Lonchura striata: one gene and its partners. The protein of the gene in region 3 interacts with the protein of the main gene of each other region in a pairwise test. Links are inferred from orthologs where the notes say so. Each region holds a gene or a part of one and is shown on either strand. Other genes may lie near its edges.

Evidence for each region. The genes of interacting proteins can lie anywhere in the genome.
Region 1: the proteins of NDRG4 (region 3) and REEP6 interact in binary tests that used the Homo sapiens proteins (3 or more experiments, as listed by UniProt). The two-hybrid records come from large-scale screens. The link is inferred for Lonchura striata from reciprocal best matches to the Homo sapiens genes NDRG4 and REEP6.
Region 2: the proteins of NDRG4 (region 3) and MAL2 interact in binary tests that used the Homo sapiens proteins (3 or more experiments, as listed by UniProt). The two-hybrid records come from large-scale screens. The link is inferred for Lonchura striata from reciprocal best matches to the Homo sapiens genes NDRG4 and MAL2.

Annotation. Positions count from the first base shown.
Region 1 is NC_134630.1:6,180,425-6,187,817, reverse strand, and holds the start of REEP6 (receptor expression-enhancing protein 6), read right to left. Parts: upstream 3,007-7,393; 5' UTR 2,932-3,006; coding exon 2,817-2,931; intron 346-2,816; coding exon 252-345; intron 1-251. Other genes in the region: PCSK4 (proprotein convertase subtilisin/kexin type 4), read left to right, coding at 4,015-4,116, 4,197-4,292, 5,209-5,337, 6,194-6,270, 6,362-6,450, 6,843-7,015, 7,090-7,302. UniProt on the Homo sapiens protein: Required for correct function and survival of retinal photoreceptors. Required for retinal development.
Region 2 is NC_134603.1:14,192,717-14,199,596, forward strand, and holds the start of MAL2 (protein MAL2), read right to left. Parts: upstream 3,007-6,880; 5' UTR 2,947-3,006; coding exon 2,812-2,946; intron 747-2,811; coding exon 576-746; intron 1-575. UniProt on the Homo sapiens protein: Member of the machinery of polarized transport. Required for the indirect transcytotic route at the step of the egress of the transcytosing cargo from perinuclear endosomes in order for it to travel to the apical surface via a raft-dependent pathway.
Region 3 is NC_134615.1:17,573,782-17,581,198, reverse strand, and holds the start of NDRG4 (protein NDRG4), read right to left. Parts: upstream 3,002-7,417; 5' UTR 2,938-3,001; coding exon 2,901-2,937; intron 1-2,900. UniProt on the Homo sapiens protein: Contributes to the maintenance of intracerebral BDNF levels within the normal range, which is necessary for the preservation of spatial learning and the resistance to neuronal cell death caused by ischemic stress.

The DNA.
Region 1 (7,393 bases), on a different chromosome or scaffold from region 3:
AGGAAGGAAGGAAGGAAACAAGGAAAGAAACAAGGAAGGAAGGACACGGCTGCTGCAGTCCCGGGCTGGGCTCCACCTTCCCAAACCCCCCAGCCCGGAGGGAACCTGCCCACTGGCTGCTCTGGGCTGGCACGGTCCCAGCCTCTCCAGGAAGGTCTCAAGAGCTTCCCAGCAATAATCGCCTCCTGGCTGAGCAGGGAGAGCTCAGCGAAGGGCAGGGCACGCTCTGCAGGTGCGGCACAGGTACTTACGAGAGGTAGGCGGGGTAGACGAAGCCGATGACATTGCAGAGCAGGGAAGCGCCGTAGCCGAACATGAGGTACAGCCCCAGGAAAGCCAGGGAGCCTGCGGGGCACAGGGGATGCTCGGGAGCCTGCTGCCACCGGGGGAGACCCCGCTCGGTCTCCTGAGCGGGATTCTCATCCCAGAGCAGGCACGGGCGTGTGCCAGGGGGTGAAAGCCACGCCGGGTTAATTCCACGTCGCGGAGGTGCTGGATGGAACGAGGCACGGGGGAGGCTGCTCCTCCCCGAGGGAGCCGCGACCCCCTCCCCTGGCTGGGATGGGGCTGGGATGGGGCTGGGATGGGGCTGGGATGGGGCTGCGATGGGGCTGGGATGGGGCTGGGATGGGATTGGGATGGGGCTGGGATGGGGCTGGGATGGGGCTGCGATGGGGCTGGGATGGGATTGGGATGGGGCTGGGATGGGGCTGGGATGGGGCTGCGATGGGGCTGGGATGGGATTGGGATGGGGCTGGGATGGGGCTGGGATGGGGGTGGGATGGGGCTGGGATGGGATTGGGATGGGATTGGGATGGGACTGGGATGGGGCTGGGATGGGGGTGGGATGGGGCTGGGATGGGGCTGGGATAGGATTGGGATGGGGCTGCGATGGGATTGGGCTGGGATGGGGCTGGGATGGGGCTGGGATGGGGCTGCGATGGGGCTGGGATGGGGCTGGGATGGGATTGGGATGGGATTGGGATGGAGCTGGGATGGGGCTGGGATGGGATTGGGATGGGATTGGGATGGGATTGGGATGGGGCTGGGATGGGGTTGGGATGGGGCTGGGATGGGGCTGGGATGGGGCTGGGATGGGATGGGGCTGTGATGGGATGGGGTTGGGATGGGGCTGGGATGGGGCTGCGATGGGGCTGGGATTGGGCTGGGATGGGGCTGGGATTGGGCTGGGATGGGGCTGGGATGGGGCTGCGATGGGGCTGCGATGGGACTTCACCACCCCAATCTCGCAGCACTTTCACCCCTGGAGCAGAGCCAGGGCGGCAGGAGACGCTGACTACACGCCCATGGTCCAAAGTCAAGGCTCCGCTTGGCTCCGCTCGGTTCCCCGGCGGGGCCCGGAGCCGCTGGGCATTCCCAGAGCTCCGGCTCAAGGACGAGCCCCGCTCCCCGTGGCCGAGCAGCCCGGCAGAGGAAGGCTTGGCCGCCCTGGGAGCGGCAATCCGATCCCGCTGCCCTGCCGCTCAATTAGCTGGCTCAATTAAAATTTGAGCCGTCGGCGGCTGGAGCCTGCCCAGCGCCCCGGACGCTCGCAGGAGGCTGCAGAGGAGCTGGGGAAAAGCGTGGCTGGGGAAGGTGGGACACGGAGCTTTTGGGCAGGAAAACCTCTGGGATACTCGGGATGGAGCATTTTGTGTGTCCCACCGGAACAAAGTCCTCCAGCAGCAGGAAAAAGCTGGGAATTAACCTGACTGTGCTGGTGAATTAAAGTCCTTGCTGGGGTGTTGAGGGAGGATTATCCCAGCTCTGCTCCCTGCAGCATTCCTGGCCTGAGCTCCGGGGCACCCACAGCTCCGGGTCTTTCCTGGGACACTGGGCAGGAGCAACGTGGCTTTGGAGCAATCCCAAACCTCCCTCCAAGGAGGGCAGGCAGGTCCAGGCAGTGCTGGGTTTCACTCCCCAAGAGCCTTAGAAGGGATTTCGCAGGATTTAAACTCCCAGAGAAATTTATGTAACAGCAAAAACCCAGGGAAGGTTTTGCTGAGGCAGCCGGAGGTGGTGCTGCCCAGAGGTTGCTCCAAACCCCAGCCCAAAGTCTCAAACACAAATTAGGGAGCTACGAGAGGGAGAAATCGGGAATTTTTAGTTCAGCAACAGCTTCTCCTTTCCAGGACAGGGACCCAGAATGCAGAACCATCCCTTTTTGGTGGGGCCACTCTTGTTCTACCCCCAAAGTCCATCACGGCTGAGCCTGAGCAAATCCCCAGGATTGTTTTGCTTGGAAAATGCCTGAGTGGCACCAAATCTCAAACTGGAGCACGTGGACGAGGCCAGTTCAAGCTGGCACAGAGGGCACAGGGCCGAGGGTCAGAGGAGAGGGGGCACGGCGTGCCAGGAGGAGGATCCCCGGGGAGAACCCGGCTGGTTCCTCATTAATGAACAACAGGGATCCGGTTAAAGGCCGGATCCGCACGGTCCCACCGGTGGGACACGGGGACGAGCTGCCATCCCCAGTGCCCCATCTGACCCACCACGATCTGGGGGCTCACCCAGAATGGGGACCCCCCCCGTCAGGCCAGGGGTCTCGAGGGTCTCTCTGACACCCGGACCCTGCACGCTTTAGGATTCCGGGATTCGGTGCCGGCGGAAGGCGAGGGCAGCGCGGTGACAGCGATGTCACCCCCGGTACCCCCACCCCCTCCGCACCCCCAAACCAGCGCGGTCCTGCCTGCCCTCCCCGTGCCCCCGTGCTGAGCCCAGAGCCACGGTGAGCAGCTGCCAAGGCGCCCCACGATACGGGGGAGAAGGGGACAGAACCGGGGAGAACCGGGGAGGCCCCGCGGTACCGGTCGCACCTGTGGCCAGGTAAAGCCGTTGGACGCCGGTACGGGCTTCCAGCCGAGCCAGCAGGTCGCCGATGGGGCCGGGGCTGTAGAGGAAGCGCTCCAGGCGCTGCTGCACGGAGCCCATGGCGGCGGCGGCGCTGAAGCGGCGGCGGCCCCGGAGCGGCCCCGGTGCGACCCCGGCCCGGCGAGCGCTCCGCTGGGGGCGTGGCCAGCGCCAGGGGGCGGGGCTCAGCGGAGGGCGTGGCCAATGGGAGGGCGGGGCGGGGAGCAGCGGGCCAATGAGGCGCGGCCGTGCGGGGGGCGTGGCCGACGCCGTTGCCATGGCAGCGCGGCCTCATGGCGGCGCGGCCCGGCCCGGCCCGGCGCTGCTCCCGGTTCTTGTCCCGGTTCTTGTCCCGGTGCTGCTCCCGGTGCTGCTCCCGGTGGCCGCCGCCGCCCCTCCGGGCCCCGCCAAGCCCCGAGTGTATCTCAGCAGCTGGGCCGTGCGGGTGGCGCCGGGGCTGAGGGACGCCCGGGCTCTGGCCCGCCGGCACGGGTTGCTCTACCGGGGCCAGGTGCGGCCTGGGCGGGGAAGGCGGGCCCAGCCCACCCCGTGTGCCCTTGGCCCGGTGCTGCCTCTGTTCGTCCCCTCCGCTTGTCCCGTGGGCAGGGATGTCTTCCATTAGGCCTGGTCACTCCAAGCCCCATCCAACACTTGCTCAACACTTCCCCTCCAAGGCTCCCTGGGAATCTGGGAATTCCGTGCCAGGGTCCCCCCAGCCTCAGAGCAAACGGCCCCTGAGCGTGCAGGGGTGAGCGAGGGACCCCCGAGGCACCCAGCCCCTCCCCAGGACTCCACGCTGTTCCCAAGGGACACTTTTGGCCCGTCCTGCTGGCATTCAATCCACCCTGGGGACACTCTGCCCGTCCTGCTGGTGTTCAATCCACCCTGGGGACACTTTTGGCCCGTCCTGCTGGTGTTCAATCCACCCTGGGGACACTTTCGGCCTGTCCTGCTGGTGTTCAATCCACCCTGGGGACACTTTTGGCCCGTCCTGCTGGTGTTCAATCCACCCTGGGGACACTTTCTGCCCGTCCTACTGGTGTTCAATCCACCCTGGGGACACTTTCTGCCCGTCCTGCTGGCGTTCAATCCACCCTGGGGACACTCTGCCCATCCTGCTGGTGTTCAATCCACCCTCCGAGCAGCTCTTTGTGCCCGCAGGTGATGGAGGGAGAGCCCTTCCACCACTTCAGCCACCGCGGCAGCCGGCAGAGAGCCCTGAGCCGGCACTGGGGGTGGCACATGCGGCTCGCCAGGGACCCCCAGGTAGGGAGGAAGGCCCGGGGTGCCAGGGGACAGCTGTGGGCAGGCACGGCCGGGCGCTCACAGCGCTGCTCCCCGCCCAGGTCCTGTGGTTCGAGCAGCAGACGCTGAAGAGACGCTCCAAGAGAGGCGCGGGCGTGGTGCCCACCGACCCCTGGTTCCCCAAGCAGTGGTACATGGTGAGAGCCGGCTGCTTCCCCTCCTCATCCCCACCCCAGTCGCGGGATGGAGGGGAGCAGCGGCACATCCAGAGCCCCCTCCCTGCTCAGCACCATCCCAGAGGCACAGGATTGGGTCTGGATTGCTCTGGGATATCCCCAGGGAGGGAAACCCCACAGCCCCTCTGGCCTCTGTTCAGGGCTCAGGTGCTGCACACTGAAGGAATTCTTCCTCCTGTGCAGGGGAATTCCTGGGATCACTCCCTGCCCCTTCCTCTGGTGCCATTTCTGGTCCCCAGGGCGAGTCTGGCCCTGCCCTGAGCCCTCCCAGGGCAGCAGCCAGGGACACCCGGGGCTGAGGGCCCCTCTCAAGGCTGAACAGCCCCAGCTCCCTCAGCTTTTCTTTGTCAGGGTGTTCCAATCCCTTCCTCAGCCTTGTGACCCTGCACTGGACCCCTCTGGGAGCTGCACGTCCCGAGGAGCCCAGAGCTGGGCACAGCACCCCAGAACTGGGCACAGCACCCCAGAACTGGGCACAGCGCCCTAAATTGGGCACAGCACCCCGGAACTGGGCACAGCACCCCAGACTGGGCACAGCACCCCAGAACTGGGAACAGCACCCCAGAGCTGGGAACAGCACCCTAAATTGAGCACAGCACCCCAGACTGGGCACAGTGCCCCAGAACTGGTCGCAGCACCCTAAATTTGGCACAGCACCCTAGACGGGGCACAGCACCCAGAGCTGGGCACAGCACCCCAGACTGGGAACAGCACCCAGAAATGCCCCCAGGGCCGGGCAGAGGGGCAGGGTCCCTCCGTGCCCGCTGGCCGTGCCCTTCCCAGCGCCCCACCCGGACATGATCCCGGCTAATGCCGGCAGTGCTGAGGCAGCAGCACTCCCGCAGGTGACCCCGATCGGAGTTAATCTGTTTTCCAGAACAACGACGTCCATCCCGACCTGAACATCCTCACGGCGTGGAGCAGAGGCTACACGGGGCTGGGCGTGGTGCTGACTGTCCTGGACGATGGGCTGGAGAAGGATCACCCCGACCTGGCCGCCAACTACGTAATTATGGGGGGGTCCAGGAGCTGCTCCTCCAGGGAGGGTGGGGTCGATGCTGTCAGCCCACCTCCAGCATTCCCGGTGGGAATTTGGCCCCTCCGGGGCTGGATCCAGGGTTTGGAGCCTCCCATGGTACAATTTCACACTGGGTTTGAAATGTTCTGACGTGCCCACGCAGAGGAGCCCCCAGAGGTGTGATTGCAGCAAGCTGCAAAGGCAGCGTGGTGGGCAAACCCTCCCAAGAAGGAAAAGCAGCCCTGGTGGTGTGGAACTGTGCCGTGGCTCCTCTCCCGGGGCTGTGTGGCCAGCGAGGGTCACCCTCAGCAAAGCTGTGCTGCTTCCAGCCCCTCCTGCACCACCCCAGAGCCACCGAGGCTGGAAAAGGGCTTCAGAATCATCGAGTCCAACCTGTGCCCACCTTCTCACCAGCCCAGAGCACCCAGTGCCACCTCCAGGCACTCCAAACCTCCCGGGGCAGCCCCTGCCAAGGCCTGCCCACCTTTCCCATGGGGAAATTCCTGCTGATGTCCCACCAGGCACAGCCTGAGGCTGTTCCCTCCTGTGCCGTTGTCCCCTGGGCCTGACCCCCATGACTGTCCCCTCCTGCCAGGGACTGGTACAGAACCAGAAGCTTCCCCCTGCTCCTCCTTTTCCCCGGGCTGAGCCCCTTCCCCAGCTCCCTTCCCTCTCGGGTCTCGGTTTAGCTCCCAGCACAGCTGGGCACGAAGGGGCCCCGCTGTCCCCTGGGCTGGCAGGCGGGTCCCTCGGCGGTGCCAGCGCCGGGCTGGGTGCCAGGAGCCTGTGCCAAGCTGCCACAGCCCTGCCCGGGCCCTCACGCCGCTGCCTCGCCGTGTAACAGGACCCGCTGGCCAGTTACGACTTCAACAGCAACGACCCCGACCCCCAGCCCCGGTACAGCGACAGCGACAAGAACTGGTGGGTTCTGCCCAGCTCCCCACACTGGGGGGGTCAGCCCTGGGGCTGTCCCAGGCCCCCCACCCCTCTCAGGGTCACTCTGTCCCCCCAGGCACGGGACACGCTGCGCGGGGGAAGTGGCAGCCGTGGCCAACAATGGAATCTGCGGTGCTGGCGTCGCCTACAATGCCAAAATTGGAGGTAAGATGTTGCTCCTCTGTGAGAGAAGCTGGAAATCATCTCCAGCCCCCTGTGAGGATGCAGGAGCCCAGGTGGGGCTGCTCTGGGCTTTACAAGGGTGGCTGCTGCCCCACATCAGGCTCGGTGCTGCCAAGGCTTTGATGCTCAGCCCAAGACCAGCAGGGCAGGCTCAGGCTCCTCTGTGGAAGTGAAGGTGGCAAAGGGGGGGTTAAACACCAGGAGCACTCCCTGTGCTTAATGAAAAAAGGCTTAATGAGGAGCTTTGGGAAGGGCACAGACACGAGGGGGCCTGATCTCCTTAGGGCAGGGGCACTGAAAGCTCCAGGCCCTGCCCTTGGTGTGGCTCGTGCGTGGCTCCCGTCCCCTCCACGGCTGCCCGGTGCCTCCCTCAGGCGTGCGGATGCTGGACGGCTCCATCACGGACATGGTGGAGGCCCAGGCCCTGGGCCTGCAGCCCCAGTACATCCACATCTACAGCGCCAGCTGGGGCCCCGAGGACGATGGCAGGACGGTGGACGGGCCCGGAGTCCTGGCTGCGGCCGCTTTCCACAGAGGGGTCGTCCAGGTAAGCCCAGCCCTGGCCTTGAGGGCCACAGGGACACGAGGACAACCTGCTGACCCCCCTCTGCTCTTCAACAGGGACGGGGTGGGCTCGGCTCCATCTTCATCTGGGCCTCGGGCAACGGCGGCACCAACTACGACAACTGCAACTGCGACGGGTACACCAACAGCATCTACACGGTGTCGGTGGGCAGCGTCCTGGCGGACGGGCAGCGGCCCCGCTACAGCGAGAGCTGCCCCGCCATCCTCACCACCACCTACAGCAGCAGGGCCACCAGCGAGGTGCAGATCGTGAGTGTCACAACAGCTCTGCCACAGCAGCAGCTCCGCGCCGGCCGCCGAGCCCAGCACCGGGCTGGTCCCAGCCCGCCTCAGCTCGGCG
Region 2 (6,880 bases), on a different chromosome or scaffold from region 3:
CACTCACCATTGCTGCCCTAGCTTTGAGCAATTGACCCAAAGTCACCAGTAGACTTTCTTAGGAACTGGAGGGGATATTCTGGGTGCTGAAGTCCAGTCTGTGCTACCTCAGACAACCATATCACACAGCATGTTCACAAATTCATCCTTTCCTTTATAATATTTGATATATCTTTCTACATCTCATTATTCATGAGGTGTTACTACCACTTCTCTAATAGTCAGAAAGTATTTTCTGATTCCCAGTGCACAATAATTCCTGGCCATTTAAACCAATTTCTTTCCACACCTTTTAAGTTAGTGCTCTTCCTGCTGCTCATACATTTTATGTGTTCAGAGAGGACAAGTGTACTCCATTAAACAGCTTCAAAAGCTCCTTCAGCCTCCATCATAAAACAGTTTCCTCTGCCACCTCTGTAATCTTGTTCTTTCTTTTTCTGGTTTTGAATTCCTGTTTGAAAAAACTTTGTGCTAAAGCAGAAAGCCAGGTGCCAAGACTTAGGATCGACACGTCTCATTAAATAATTTTCAGTTTATAAAACAAAGGGAATCCTTAAACAAATGAAAAATCTTACCGCCTGGTTCCAGTTGACAGCAATTCTATTTGCATAACCAAAGAGGAACACAGAGAGGAAGACAATGGAGAGGAACCACGCCGTCACTGCCACAAACATTACCCATCCCTGCAGCAGTGCCAGTGGAATTTGGGTAGAGGCGACCAAAATCCAGACTATTGTTCCAAACAGCTGCAAGGAAAGGAATACAGAGAATAAACTGGACAGCTTTTACTCAGTACTTTCTGCCTAAGAACTGATATCACACATTACATATCATCAGATGACTCTTAGAAACCAAGAAGAAACACTTCAAAAGTACTCGGAGAGCCCAAGTCCTCCTCTCAGAAATGATAGGCACTAAGTGGTGAAAATACAAAGCCACTCTGAAATTCCTAAAGGTTCTTAAAATAGGCTTGAAAATGGGATTTACAAACCCAGGTGACTTGTGTCCTGCTGAAAATTTTATCCTTACTGCAATTTTGAATAAAATATAAGAAATGTGAAAACACAGTACACACACACACAAATCTCTCTCTAAATACGCAAATTAGCACAAAAAGGATGTACTTCTACTACTTTGGATTCAATTTCATAATGTTTCGCTTTGAAGTCCTAATCAGATGAGATACAGAAAGGAGATAAAAAGACACCCATTTTTTCAATATATTTGTAATACCAAGCTGAAGGAGGACAGAAAGCATAAAACAAAAGAAAAAAACCTAGAATACAGAATAAGGTGAGTTGTAAACTATGCTGTAAAGACTAGAAAAATATAGAAGTTTCCAGAATCATCATAACTTGGAGAAGAATTCAGCAGTGCCAATTTCATTTCAGCAGACTCCTCACGGCAAATGAGTGGTAGGGACACTGTGCTAGGGATGGTGATGGAGAATTTACACACTCTAAGGCTTCCCTGGCTTAATCAACTTTTGGCCTAAGGAACACAACTATTTCTTCCTGCAAATCCTGCCTCTTAATAAAAAAACATAAATAGATGACAATTATGATTCACTCCAAGTATGTTTGTTTATGACAGAAAGATTTAAATTCATAATCCAAACTGCTGAATAGTGTCAACTAAAATATATTTCCAAGCGCAAGTAACTTCTTTCCTGTTTGAATTCCACAGATTTACAAACCAGGAAGTCAGAGGTTACATTTTCAGATTCAGATAGCTTTCTTTTGTATCACAGTTGGATAAGAGATACCTTTCAAAAGATGCCTGCTACAAAATAAGTTGGTTCCTCTCTGGTGCAGCAGCACATGTGTAAAGATGCATTGCTAGTCTCAGTTCAAAGCTCCCATGGGTTTATGTATTACTGTTCAAGTTGTTCTCTAGGGTTCCTTTTTTATCTGTGAAGAACCAAACTTTCTCTAGTTTCATAAGACTGCAGGTGCAAGTCTGTTACTTGGTGACCAGAGAGTGATGGGCAGTGAGGAAACAAAAGGGATAGCAGAAAGTGTCTGTTAAACAAAAAACAGAGACACATTAAATGCTTTCAGTATTTTCAATGTGCAGACTTGCAGGGTTCCTTAAAAATAAATTTAGAACTGTACTGTAGAGACTGCTAATCTCAGCACCCACTGTTGTGCTACTTCCCTCACGCTACACCTGTCCACAACAGCTTGCCTGTCAGAGTACAATTGGTTGGCCAGCTGAACTAACCTTTTGTCCCTACTGCCTCTGGGCCTGATTTAGTGCCCGGACTTGTGTTTCGAGTTTCAGCTTGCTCCTTACTCAGGTACAATTTTAAAGCTTGTGAGGTGGGACCCAGCTCACAGTCTGGGACCCAAGTAGTATTCTGCTCTGACCGTACGGGAAAGAGTAAATTAATAAAGTCAGAGGGGTTCTACCAAGCTTTTTTGTTTTTCATCACCCATTAATCAGTGGCACCACAGAGCGCCATATCCAAGCTCAGCTCAAAGGTCCTCAGCCCTGCGTACTCCTGCGGGGTCTAACACACACGTGCCATTGAGCACGCTCGTAGGAGTTTGCAGAGGACGCGCAACAGGCGCGCAGACAGAACCTGGTGTAACTCTCCGTGGTGCCTTTTCGGGTCGGGAGCAGAGCGTGGCTCAAAGCCCCGGACAGCTGAGGGAGCCCCGCGAAGCCCATCTGCGTGCGGGCCGCGGCCGAGGGCAGCGAGCCGGGCGGGCGGAGCCCCGGCCCCGCACCTGCCCCTGCCCCGCTCACAAGATGGCAGGCGAGCGGCGCGGCAGGCCCTGGCGCTCCCCACCGCGGCCCTGCACTCACGATCTCCAGGAAGATGACGGCTCCCGAGAAGGTGCGCAGGATCTCCAGGCCGGAGGGCAGCGTGACCCGCGGAGGCGGGAAGTAGGGAGCGGGGTTGGGAGGCGGCGGCATGGACGAGGCTCCCCTGGGCAACATGCTGCTGCGGCGGCGGCGGCCGTGCCGAGCGCGGCCAGGTGGGCGAGGAGGCGGCGGTGAGGGCGGCGCAGGTGCGGGCGGGCCGGCCGCGCCTCCCCCGGCCCGGCCCGGCCCGGCCCGGCCCCGCCCCGCAGCCGCCGCGCCTCGCCCGGAGCGGGGCCGGGCCCGGGGCCGGAGCCGGGCTCGGGCCGTGTCCGGCCACTGCCTCCCGGCTTCACGGCAGCGCGGCGCTCCGCATTCACGAGTCCTGAATCAGGCCAGCCGGACTCGGGCGTGATTTCCCAATGCCGGCTTGCAAAAGGTTTTTATTTACCTTCTGGTTACGGATGTTCGGGCTTCGAAATTGAGTCGTTGCACTGTTTTATTTAAAGGCGCCTACTAGGTTATCCATTCAAAATATTGAAAACATTTCATTTGTATCTTCTTATTGCTCGGTCTGGCTCAACTGTGTACCACTGATTAAAAGTAGTAGAAAATGTTTGTAAAACTTTGGGGTAGAGAAAGGTATACATTCATGAGACTACTTATAATCCATTTATTTTCTTATGCTTCTTTATACAAGCATCTTCTCCAGATGGAGATGCCATCCAGCAGCACTTCACTTATTTCTCCCGTTGTGCCTTAGGCTGAGATGTGCTACCTCTGGAATGACCAAGACTGTTTCACCCAATGTTATCCCATTCAGTGTTCATACTCCACACATACGGCTGCGATTTTAGAGATAACATTTTAAGAAGGTTTCATGCAAGTGTATGTAGCTGCTCTGGAGATTGAACTGACTTGGGTATAAAGACCTTATTCCTTTCTTTTCGATGCATGATGTTTCTCGGGTATGCTTTTGTGATGACAAGAAATGCCACATCCTGAGATGCCTGTCTTCCCCACCCCAATCCAAGCCCTAGGTGGAGAGCAGTTGGCACCATAAAACAGGACTCATCTGTGTTTCTGCCATACCATTCCGTACACAAATAGATTTGTGATGCTTTTAAAATGCATTAATGATTGCTTGGCTTTGAAATCTTGGCATCTAAAGGAGGAAGAAGCAAAAGTTCACATTCTTTCTTGTGCTCTGTCTTCATCTCTATGCCTCTTGTAGCTGGATGCCTCTTGAACTCTTAAGTAGGAGATGCTGGATTGAATCCCCATTAGGCTGAAGAAGGCACAGCCTCCCCTCTTTTCTGAGTGCTTTACCCCATTGCCTATCCAATGATATATTATTTTTTTCCTCTAGACCTATTTGAAAAGTGAACCTTGTGTTCCATCCTTTTATCTTCAGGAAAAGACTTAAGGCTCTGGAAGTGCATGCCTACAGGACCTGTTTTGGCTGTTTTGGAAAGGAATGGGATTGATACTTGTGCATAAGTGATTAGGTGTAGGAGGTTTGTTCTTGGGATTGTTATCTGGAGACCATATGTCAAATAAAAGTCACAGTCTGGCCCTAAATCTGTTAAGACTGCCCTGCAGAGGGAGAAGTCTGAGACAGTGGAAAACAGGGCTGGTTTATGATTCAGAACAAGAAATGTGATTGTCCTTATCTTACACAAAGGAAGTACAAATAATACTTGGTCATAAACATTTCCAGTGTTATTATTTAGCTGCATAGTTAATCTGTGTGAACTCCTAGCAGTACTAGATTTTACTAATGATTACATACCATGTGCTTGTAAATCCTATTTCTTTTTACTTGCACGTTCCTTATAACACTTATTTTATTGAAATTTAGTTGGTTCTAACAAAAAAGTCCAAATTTCACTTTCACAATTAGGTATAGATCTACTGAGTAGATTTTTGGCTGTGCTTTTTCCTGAAGCCTAATTCTCTGCTTTTTCCTAAAGCTTAAATTAAGTGTCTCTTTAAATTATTTTTGCTGTGTTCAGGCAAGATGTGCTGCATGCCCTGTGGGATTGCTTTTATACTGATTCATGTACTGTTTGAATCTTTAAAGAACTGGATTTTTTAAAGAGATTAAGTTTCCATGCAAAAGCACATGTTTGTGTTTAACTGCTTTTTAATAGCATTTTTGTATAACTAATTGCATCTTGGCATGTTAGAAGGTAAAGTAATGATGCAGCTTCCAGTCCACCAAAGTGAATAGGTAGGCAGAAGTATATTGATTCATTGTGAGTAGGAAAGTCTGTCTATACAACCACAAGGAGTAAAAATTGCTCTTAAGCAGCTGTAAAAAGCTCTATTCCCTTCATGTTCTAATGCTATGGCAGTCTAATGTAAAGGAAGCATTGTCACAGAACTACTAAACCAGTTGCTGGTTTAGCAGTGTACATGTGTACATCATACTGGATATGAAAATTACACAGCAGTCACATGCAGCAAGATTCAGACTACCTTTTGTGAGGTATGGCATTGATACTTCTGGAAGAGCTGAATATTAGTAAGGATACTAGATAACAGGTGAAAGTAATGCCAATTTCAGAACTCATGGTCCTTAATGCCTTATCTATGTTATCAGAAGCATTTCAGGAAGAGATGTTATCTCATGTCCTATGTTATGGAGTGCACCAGGGTGGTCTGCCAAAATGGTCAAAGAGATGGAAAATACAAACCAAATAATTGACAGTAACCCTGTTTTCCTGTGGCTCTGTTTATGCACAAACAGATTCCCCAAGCCAGAGTGGAACTAGGCAAGGTTTTCTAGACAGGATCCGCTTCTTTCTTGTTCTGGAGGAAGTTGCCCCTAATAGTTGTCTGTGTTTCTTTTAGATTTGCAAAGCTGCTATTTCTTAATGTGGAATACAAACTCTCCTAAGTTAGTTACATATCAAAAATAGAAAGCCTGGAGTTGATCATGCAACACAGGCTTTTTGTTTATGGATGAAATAATTTAGCATGCTCCTGGAAATTTCATACAGGATTCTGATCTCACACTGGTACAAACTCTGGGGTCATTACCCCTTAGCCAGTGAAATTAAATTGGCATAAAACTGGCTTGCATAAGATGAATGATAAGGAATGCCTTTAGCATCATTTGTTGTAGTGTATTTAGTAAGTGGTAACAGAACTTCAGGATCATGGTTGGATCTATGCATATTATGAATTAGTGTGCAAATACCACCACATTGTTGAGGTTTCTTGTGAGGCAGTGCAACAGTTTTAATTTTTTTAACAAGCAGGGCCAAGTTTGTGAATGCATGTTGCCCCTTCTTGCACCAAGAGGAAAACAACTGTTGAAATTTCTCACTTAATCCAGTTAAACTGAGCTTGGGATGTGTGCTGAGGAGATGAAGATAAATGTGCCACCTGTTTGGTCCACCAGTGCCAGGGATGGCTGGTTACCAAACCAGTCCCTGGAGCAGCTTCAAGCAGTCTCAGAGCTGCTCTCAGCAGCATTTTCTGGCTGGCTCATAATGCTATGGTGGTACTTTGGACATGGCCTCTTCCTGCAGAAGTGTCTTCCGTGCCCAGAGCCATGGGATGAAAGGCATTTTCCTGTCTGCTTTGGCTCTCAGGGTGCCCTTTGAAGCAGGGAATCCTTTGCTGGCTGGTTAGGGGTGTTTGAGGATCCCTTCACACAGGCACCACACAGCTGGAGGCTGGCACAGAGCCAGGGACCCTGCTGGAGTCAGCTGGTGTTAGGGAGGTCAGGCTGAGGTTCCTCACCTGTTCTCATAACATTGTTTCCATGTTCCTAAGCTTACCAGCGGTTCATTTTTGACTTGGTGGCACTGCTGGTCTCTAGCAATACAGTATAGCATGCCAAGGGCCAATTTTCCTTTTATTTACTTTAAGAAATTCCTTTTAGCTGTGTAAGGGTGCAGCAAAAGTAAAAATGCAGAATCTCTTAATAGCAAAGAGGAAGATCCTGACCTGAGATGGTACAGGAGGCAAGGTGGGTAGAGAGGGACATGGCAGAGCAAAGCCAAGTTACCTAATGGGAAAATGTCTCAAGAAGTCAAGTGTTCTGTTCTTGGCATAGGTG
Region 3 (7,417 bases):
GCACACAGAAGGTGAAAGACATGGGGACACAGGGAACAGTCCAGGCTCCCCTGTGTTTGAATGGAATGGGTATCTGGCAAATGCCAGTGCCAGGGGATAATCTACACTCAAGCAGGATCCAGACCTCAGGCATTGCCTTTGCAGCCTGTTTTCACCCTTTCCACAAGACAGACAAGCTGTTGCCTCTCCAAATGAGCCAGCACTGATCCCACATCCTCCCAGCTGTCTCCCCCCCCCGTGCAATCTCCCTGGACATAACGGGGATGCTCTGGGCTGTACGGGCACCGCAGCAGACACGGAACCACTCCATCCTCACGGCCTCAGCCGAGCCTGCTTCACACTTTGTCCACCTCCAAACCTAGATCACTCCAGGCTGACAATGTGGGAAGGCCAAGAAATGCCACAAATATTGCAAAACCACCAGGATACAGAAGTTGGTCATAAACTTCCCTCCAAAGTCGGGTTTTGCTCCTCCGACTGGGTTTTCCATTCAAAACTCAAGCAGGCTGTGCCACCTGCCTGCTTCCTGCAGACACAGCACTTTGCCTTGCTCCCTGGGAGCCATCCAAAGATCCAGAACTGTTTGGAGGGAGAAACACCACTCCAAAGCCTCTCGAGATTCCCGGGGCACCCAGCACCAGGAGTCTCCATGCCACCCCTGCCCAGAGAGTCCCACGAGATCAGGGGATGTGGAGAGGTGCCATGAGCCCCATGGAGAGGCACAAATGAGGGGCACACTGCTCCAGGCTGGGCTGTGCTGCTGGGGAGATGGCTCTGTGCACAGGGACAGCCCTGGCCTGCAGCCCACCAGCACAGCCGAGCCAACACAGCCTGCAGAGCCACCAACTGAGCAACCCCACAACCCCAGGGGAAAAACCAGGAGAAAAATCAGCCTCACCAATAGCTGGGTCTGGAGGAGAGCAGGAGTGTCCCACGCTGAGCACACCAACCCACCGTGTGGCCACAGCCCCAGCGTGGCTGGGAACAGCACTTAGTGTATGGTGAATGCCTTTATTAATTACAGCCTGCAGCTAATATGGGAGGGAGGGAGGGTGGCTGAGCCATGAGGAAAGGCCCCGTGACCTTGTTTGCATGGTGGGGGCAATGCTGGCTCAGGAGGAACGTAGCAGAGCTCTGCCCCAACCAGCTTCCCCTGCACAGCTTCCTAAAGTGGTGCTGAGTGTGGGAATAGAGGAGGGATCAGCGAGTCAGGGATCAGTAAGCAGGGTCACAGCCATGCAGCCACCCATCCTGGGTGCTCTGCATCCCATGCCACCCACAGGAACCCTCGTCCCTCCTCAGCACTGTAGCTGTGGGGCTGTGGGCAGTCTCACCCAGCCCCACTGGGCCACTGTCACTGTTGAGGGCTGGTGAGGAAGCCACAGCTCCAGGTCTCCTAGCCAAAACAACTTGGCTCCCATCTTCTGCCAGGGTAATGTGCCCAGCAACGAGTCCTTTTCCTTGCAGCTCACCCCAGTGCTCCCCAACAAGCACCCATTCCCAGGGCATCACCCCAAACACACCCATCTCTGCTCCCACTCTGCCTTCCCAGTGTGGTGCCACAGTTTCCTTGGCACAGCCAGGACATGTCTCTTCCCTAATTCCCAATCAGTTCCAAACCCAGCAGGACATAAGTGCTCTGTCTGGGACTAGTGTTCTCTCCCACCAGGGCCCTGGCACTGTGTATATAGATGGGACAGGAACAGCCACATTGGCTTACCTTCCCCAGGGATCTGCAGCCCACTGCTGGCTAACTGCAGGAGAACCAGCTTGTAGCATTATTATTATTATTATTATTATTATTATTATTATTACTACTACTACTAAATTATCACAACAAAGTTGTGAGCTCCATTACACACTTGGGAGCATGTGTGGTCACAGGGCCGGGATCCCTCAGATGTTGTCTCACTCTCACAAGAGTCCCCACACTGACTACCTGCCTGCTGCCCTGGCACGGATGTGTTGCCCACAGGATGTTGGCACGGATACCTCGGGCTGACTGAGCAGCGTGCAACAAACAGGCAGACAAATCAGGAGAAGTGAGGGCTGGTTCCTGCCAGCCAGTGAAGCCAAGGCAGCCTTCAGTGAGGCTGGGAGAGGGAGGAAGGGAACTTGCAGCTCAGTCTGAGCCACGGCCGTGTGCCCACTGCATTGCCCCCGGAGCAGGAGCGATGGGGGAGCACCATGGGGTGAAGGAAAACCCCGGTGTGACACAGTCTGGGCCACATCCTCCTCCACCAGTGCAGGAGGAACAGCCTCAGCTTTCTCTGAACCCGTGAGGGACACAGGTCTGTACCCCAGCAGCCCCCACAAAGCAGCCGAACAGTGTGGTCCGGCTGAGGGGCGCAGACCGGGCAGCCCCGCCACGGAGCCCCGTGGGGGACGCGGCGCCACTGACGCGTGGGCTGAGCCGCGCAGGGTCTGGGGGCGGCGGTGGCAGCAGGGGGCTGTGTGGGGGCTCAGGCTGTCCACGGTGGCTGTTGCTAAGAGCGGCCTCCTTCCCAGCCCAGCGCGTTCGTCGGGGCAGCGGGGAGACTCCCAGGGGAGGCTGGCTGAGGAGCGGGGAGGCACCGCAGGGATGCTCCAGCAATCCCCCCTGGCACCCCCACCCCCGGCTGTCTGCCGGCCGGCCCTCTTTGCCAGGAGCTGCCGGCTCCGTTCCCCCTTCCCAGCACACCCGGGCTGGGCTTTCCCCGCTGCAGCAAGGCATCAGCTCCCGGACTCCGACAAGGACCCGACCCCGGCACCCGCACCTGCGGGAGCAAAGGCGGGCGGGCGGTGCGGGCAGCTCCATCTCCTCGGCAGGGGCTGAGGGGCCGAAGGCTCTCGCCACCCCCGGTCCCATCGCCCCTCCTCGGTTCACAGCCCCCGTTCCGGCACGGGCGGCCGGGCCGTACCTGTCAGGAGCTCGATCTTGTGCCGGAGCACCTTCATGCCGGGCGGCGAGTCCCGGCGGGCGGGGCGGGCTGAGGCGGCGGCGGCCCCGGCGCGGGGCGAGCGGAGCCGGAGCCGGAGCCGGTGCCGGTGCCGGTGCCGGTGCCGGAGCGAGGTGCGCGGGGCGGCGCAGGGGCTGGGCTGGGCACGGCCCCGCCGGCCGGATCCTCCTCCCCTCGCCGGGGCCGGAGGGGAGGGACGGGGCCGGGATCGGGAACGGGGGCACCCGGAGAACAGCGGTGCTGAGGGAGGCGGGAGCGGACGGGAGATGGAGGCTGCGGGGGTTACGCGGAGCGCTGGGGGCTGCGGGGGGTTGCACGGGGGATGGAGGCTGCCGAGGACACACATCACTCTGCAGGGAACCATTTCGGTCCCAGAGTGGGACCGTGATGACCAACAGGTCCAACAGGTCCCTGTGGTCGTGGAGTCCCAGAAGCAGAGGACAGCGGCAGCCCCAGGTATGGACCATGCACGAGGGGTCTGGGTCTCCCTGAGAGCAGGGGAAGGCGATAATCAAGGTGCTCAGGGAGGATCTGGGACAAGAGGAGACCTGTGCACAACAATGATACCTGGAACACAGCCACTGGTGGCCAAGGGATGTAGGGAGACCTGGAAAGTGGGGCCACGAAGGACAAAGGGCTTGGGAGTATCCAGGAAAGAAAACACAGATTACAAGGGACCTAAGGGTCCTCTGGGGCATGGGAATGTAGGTTGCCCTGAACATAGGATGGTCCCAATCAAGGTTGCCAGGTGGTTTCAGGATAAGAAGGGCCTGTCCAATGAAGGTCCCCACAGCAGGACCACAATGGTCTGTGAGGGAATGGAGATTGTGACAGTCAAGAAGGATCACCCAGGAGTGGAGGCTGTGACTGGGGTCATGATGAACCCACGAACACTGATGCTGGAGGTGTAGGGTGGCAGCTGTGTTTGGGGCAGAGCAGGAGGTTGTAAATCACTTGAATTCTCCTGAATTGGGACAATTGGGACATTGAGGACAGAGGGCCTTGGCTTGCCCCAGAGCAAGGGCTGAATCCTGCTTGTCTCCACACCTGACAAGGTCATGCTGGCAGTGTTCCTTCCTCTGTACTTGTCTGATATCACTTTAACTGATTTTTTTTCTCACAGCTAGGGATGTAACAGCCTCCACTCCCATGCTGCCTGAGGCAACTGCACAGGACATACCATCCAAAACTGGCTCTTATCAAACCATGGGGAGCTCCTGAGGACCCCATCACCTCCTCTCAACAGGCTTGGTTCCTCAGCACTGGGCTGAATCAGGTATCTCAGAGCTCAGCCTCATTGCCCCTCAGCCAGCCACAGTGGCCAACAGACCCCTCTGCTTCAGGGCGCCTTTGCCTGCTGGGCCATGGGGTGCCTTGAGAGAAGCCACAGGCAGTCATCCTACAAATAGCTGCTGAGGGGCTGGAGAAATGTCTGCTCATACTGACATTCATCCCTGGTACATCAATTTTAACAGCTTGTCCCAGGCTTTTTGGATGGCAACCAGATTTCAGCTGATTTCAGCCTCTCCCGCTGAGTCACCACGAGTTCTGCATCCAGGCTGCATTCGCCTTCTCACCTCAAAGAGCGAAAAGCCCATGATGTCAGGGAGCTCAGGGACTCTTAAATCCCTCAAGTAGGAGCCAGTCCCTCACCTAGCACTTCAATGGGATCAAATCTTCCCTGCCTTCAGCGCTGCTTTTCCCCCTCTTCTGTGGGTCCAGCAGCCAAGAGGTTTTCTCTGAACTTGGTCAGGGACGAGACAGTGTTGGTTCTGATCTTCCTAATATTGCACACATTTAAACCTCCTCCTCCTCTCCCTTCAGTTGCCAGGGGTTTCTATGGGAATAAATTCTTTTTCATGCTTGGGATTTATCTTCTCCTCAGCAGTCACACCTTCAAGCAGAGAGAGAGTGGGCCAGAACTGCTGAACCCACAGATGCCATTGGTGGCAAGAGGGAGATGGCAGGACCAGAGGTCCTGGGACCTTTCATTTTCCTTCCCTCTGGAAGAAACCTGGAAAGATTTCATTAAAAAGGCAGAGACCATAAAACTCCAATAAAAATGCTCCAGCATGACCCCACAAAACGTTCCTGTTGTGATGGTGCAATCTCAGCCTGGCAGAGGTGAGCTGGGACCCCTAAACCTGTTGCAGGTAGCTCTGAACCCCTTGGCCACCCTTCCCACAGTGGCACCCAACACTGGCAGTGGACCCCTCCTGTGGTGGGCAGCTGGTGGTGGACAGAGCACACAGCTGCCATCAGCAGAGAGAGATGTAGAGGTGACCAGCAGGGAAGCAGAGCCCTGAATCCAAGCCCTGAGGCAGGGCAGGGTTTGACACACGTCCACAGCTCCAGGCTGCATCCTGTGCTGCACACACAGGGCTGATTTGGGAGCAGGAGGAGAAGCAGCCTGGGGCTGATGTGCTGGCTGCCCAGGCTGGCTGTGCAGGGGAGCAGCAGGATCAATGTGCCTGTATCGAAGGGCTTCATGGGGATTAGATACCACCCTGAGGCACAGGCAGTCCAGTGACGATGTGCAGAGGAGTCACAGCTAAATTTAGCCTCATTTGTGCGTGAGTGTGATGTTTTTATTCTTGCCCTTAAATATAAACATTGTTTGAAGCCAGTGGCTGCTGGTTCTGCTTTGCTAGCTCTGGATCTTGGATGGATTGTTTCAGTCAAGCTATTCAAAAGAGGGAGAAATGCGAATAAGCAGTTGGTGAGACATATCCCAAAGACCTATTTTCAAAAATGCTCAGGAACCATTTCCCAGAATCCAGCAGTGCACACAAAGCAGTGAGTGTGACGTTGGTGGCTGTGGGGATGTGCTGGTGCTGAGGGAGAGGTGTCTCCCAGGTAAAGCTGCTCCATGGGCATGGGATCACATGCTGGAGCTTTGACCATAATGAGGGTTATCTTGGGTGTGAGGCAGCAGCACTGGAGTGGCAGCAGCTGTTGGTGATGGGTCCCATCCTGCATCCCACCTTGGCTGGACATCCCACCCCTAGGGCAGGCACAATCTGCCCCAGCCTTACATCCCCAGGGCAGCAAAAGGTCCACACCTTGCTGGCTCCAAAATAATCCAAACCAGAATGGCAGCAGGGCAATTAAATCTTGGGTGCCCCAAAAGAGACACCTCAAACCTTGCCCAGAGGTCCCAGATTGGTGCCAGGAGGGGTTGGTGTCCCCAGAAGTGCTGGGCTTCATGCAGAACAAGGCAAGGCTGCACTGTGGCACTGCCTGTGCGTGAGCTCAGGGCTGTGGGCAGAGACAGAGACAGGGACAGGCAGGAGCCAGCCCTGCTGCTCCACATCCTGACACCACACATTCCACTGAAGCTGCCTGGGAAGGTAAAATCCTGCAGGGAGCTCTGTATCCTCTCCATGCAACACAGCCCCTGAGGCCAGGACGGGAGCAGAGGCTCTGTGACCCAGCCCAGGGCAGAGCTGTGCTGTGCCCTGTGTGCCCCACAAAGCATGTGCTGGGGCTGGCGAGCTGCCCGTCCCCCCCGGCTGCCTCCTGCCCTCCAAACACAGGGCTACCAGTAATTTTCCATCCTGGCTGTGAGCTCTGCCCTAACGAGATGTTCTCCTCTGTCCCTCTAGCAGGGCTGGGCCCCATTCAAGTTTCTCTGTTCATTCAGACCCTGAGTCCACCCCCTCCGTTTTGCTGCTCAAGCTGCCCGCCAGTTCTGCAGGGTGGCTGCTCCTCCAAGCCCCGTTCCTCACAGTGCTCACAGCCCCTCTGCCTCAGGGCAATGGGAAGATTTTGTCCAAAAGCCAGGGGGGAAAAAAAATTTAAAAAAAAGATCAGCAACCAGCCAAGAAAAATTCCCATGGCTCAGCTGCACTGGGGCCAGGAACAAGGCAGCCCTGGGGACTTTGCCCTCAGCCATTTCCAAAGCTGCCTCTGCACAGGCACCTCTGCCTGGAATTGAAGGTCTGGTCCATCAGCTGCACTGGTTGGTCAAGCACATCAGAGTAAAGCTGATTTCCAGAGGAAGGTACCTGGCCCTGGAGCACTGTGCCTGCAGCAGTGCACTCCCCTCAGCTCCTCCTTGCAATGAAGCTGCTCAACTCTGACCTCAGTTTAGGCATTCACTTTGTGGGCCTGGAGAGCCACCCAGTGCCAGGAGACACTTTCCAGAGGGAGGATTCTGTGCCCATCTCTCCAGAGCAGGCCCCTTCATCCCTTCCTGCCTCCCCCCAGCCACAGGAGCCAGCAGCACTGCTCAGGCCCACTTTGCTGCTTCTGCCATAGCCTCTTTTCGGAATCAAGCCAAGTTTTAAATAAATACCTGTCAGCAGAGCCAAGCCGGGTGCTCAGAATGATGGCATGTGTGTTTAGCAGGTTGATAGGCGTGAGACAGAGCACAGACAGCAGGGGCTCTCTCCTCAGAGGCCAGAAACTGGCACATTCTCAAAGGCAGCATTAATCAGCATTTTCAACTGCACAGCACCTGTCACAACACAGCAAAG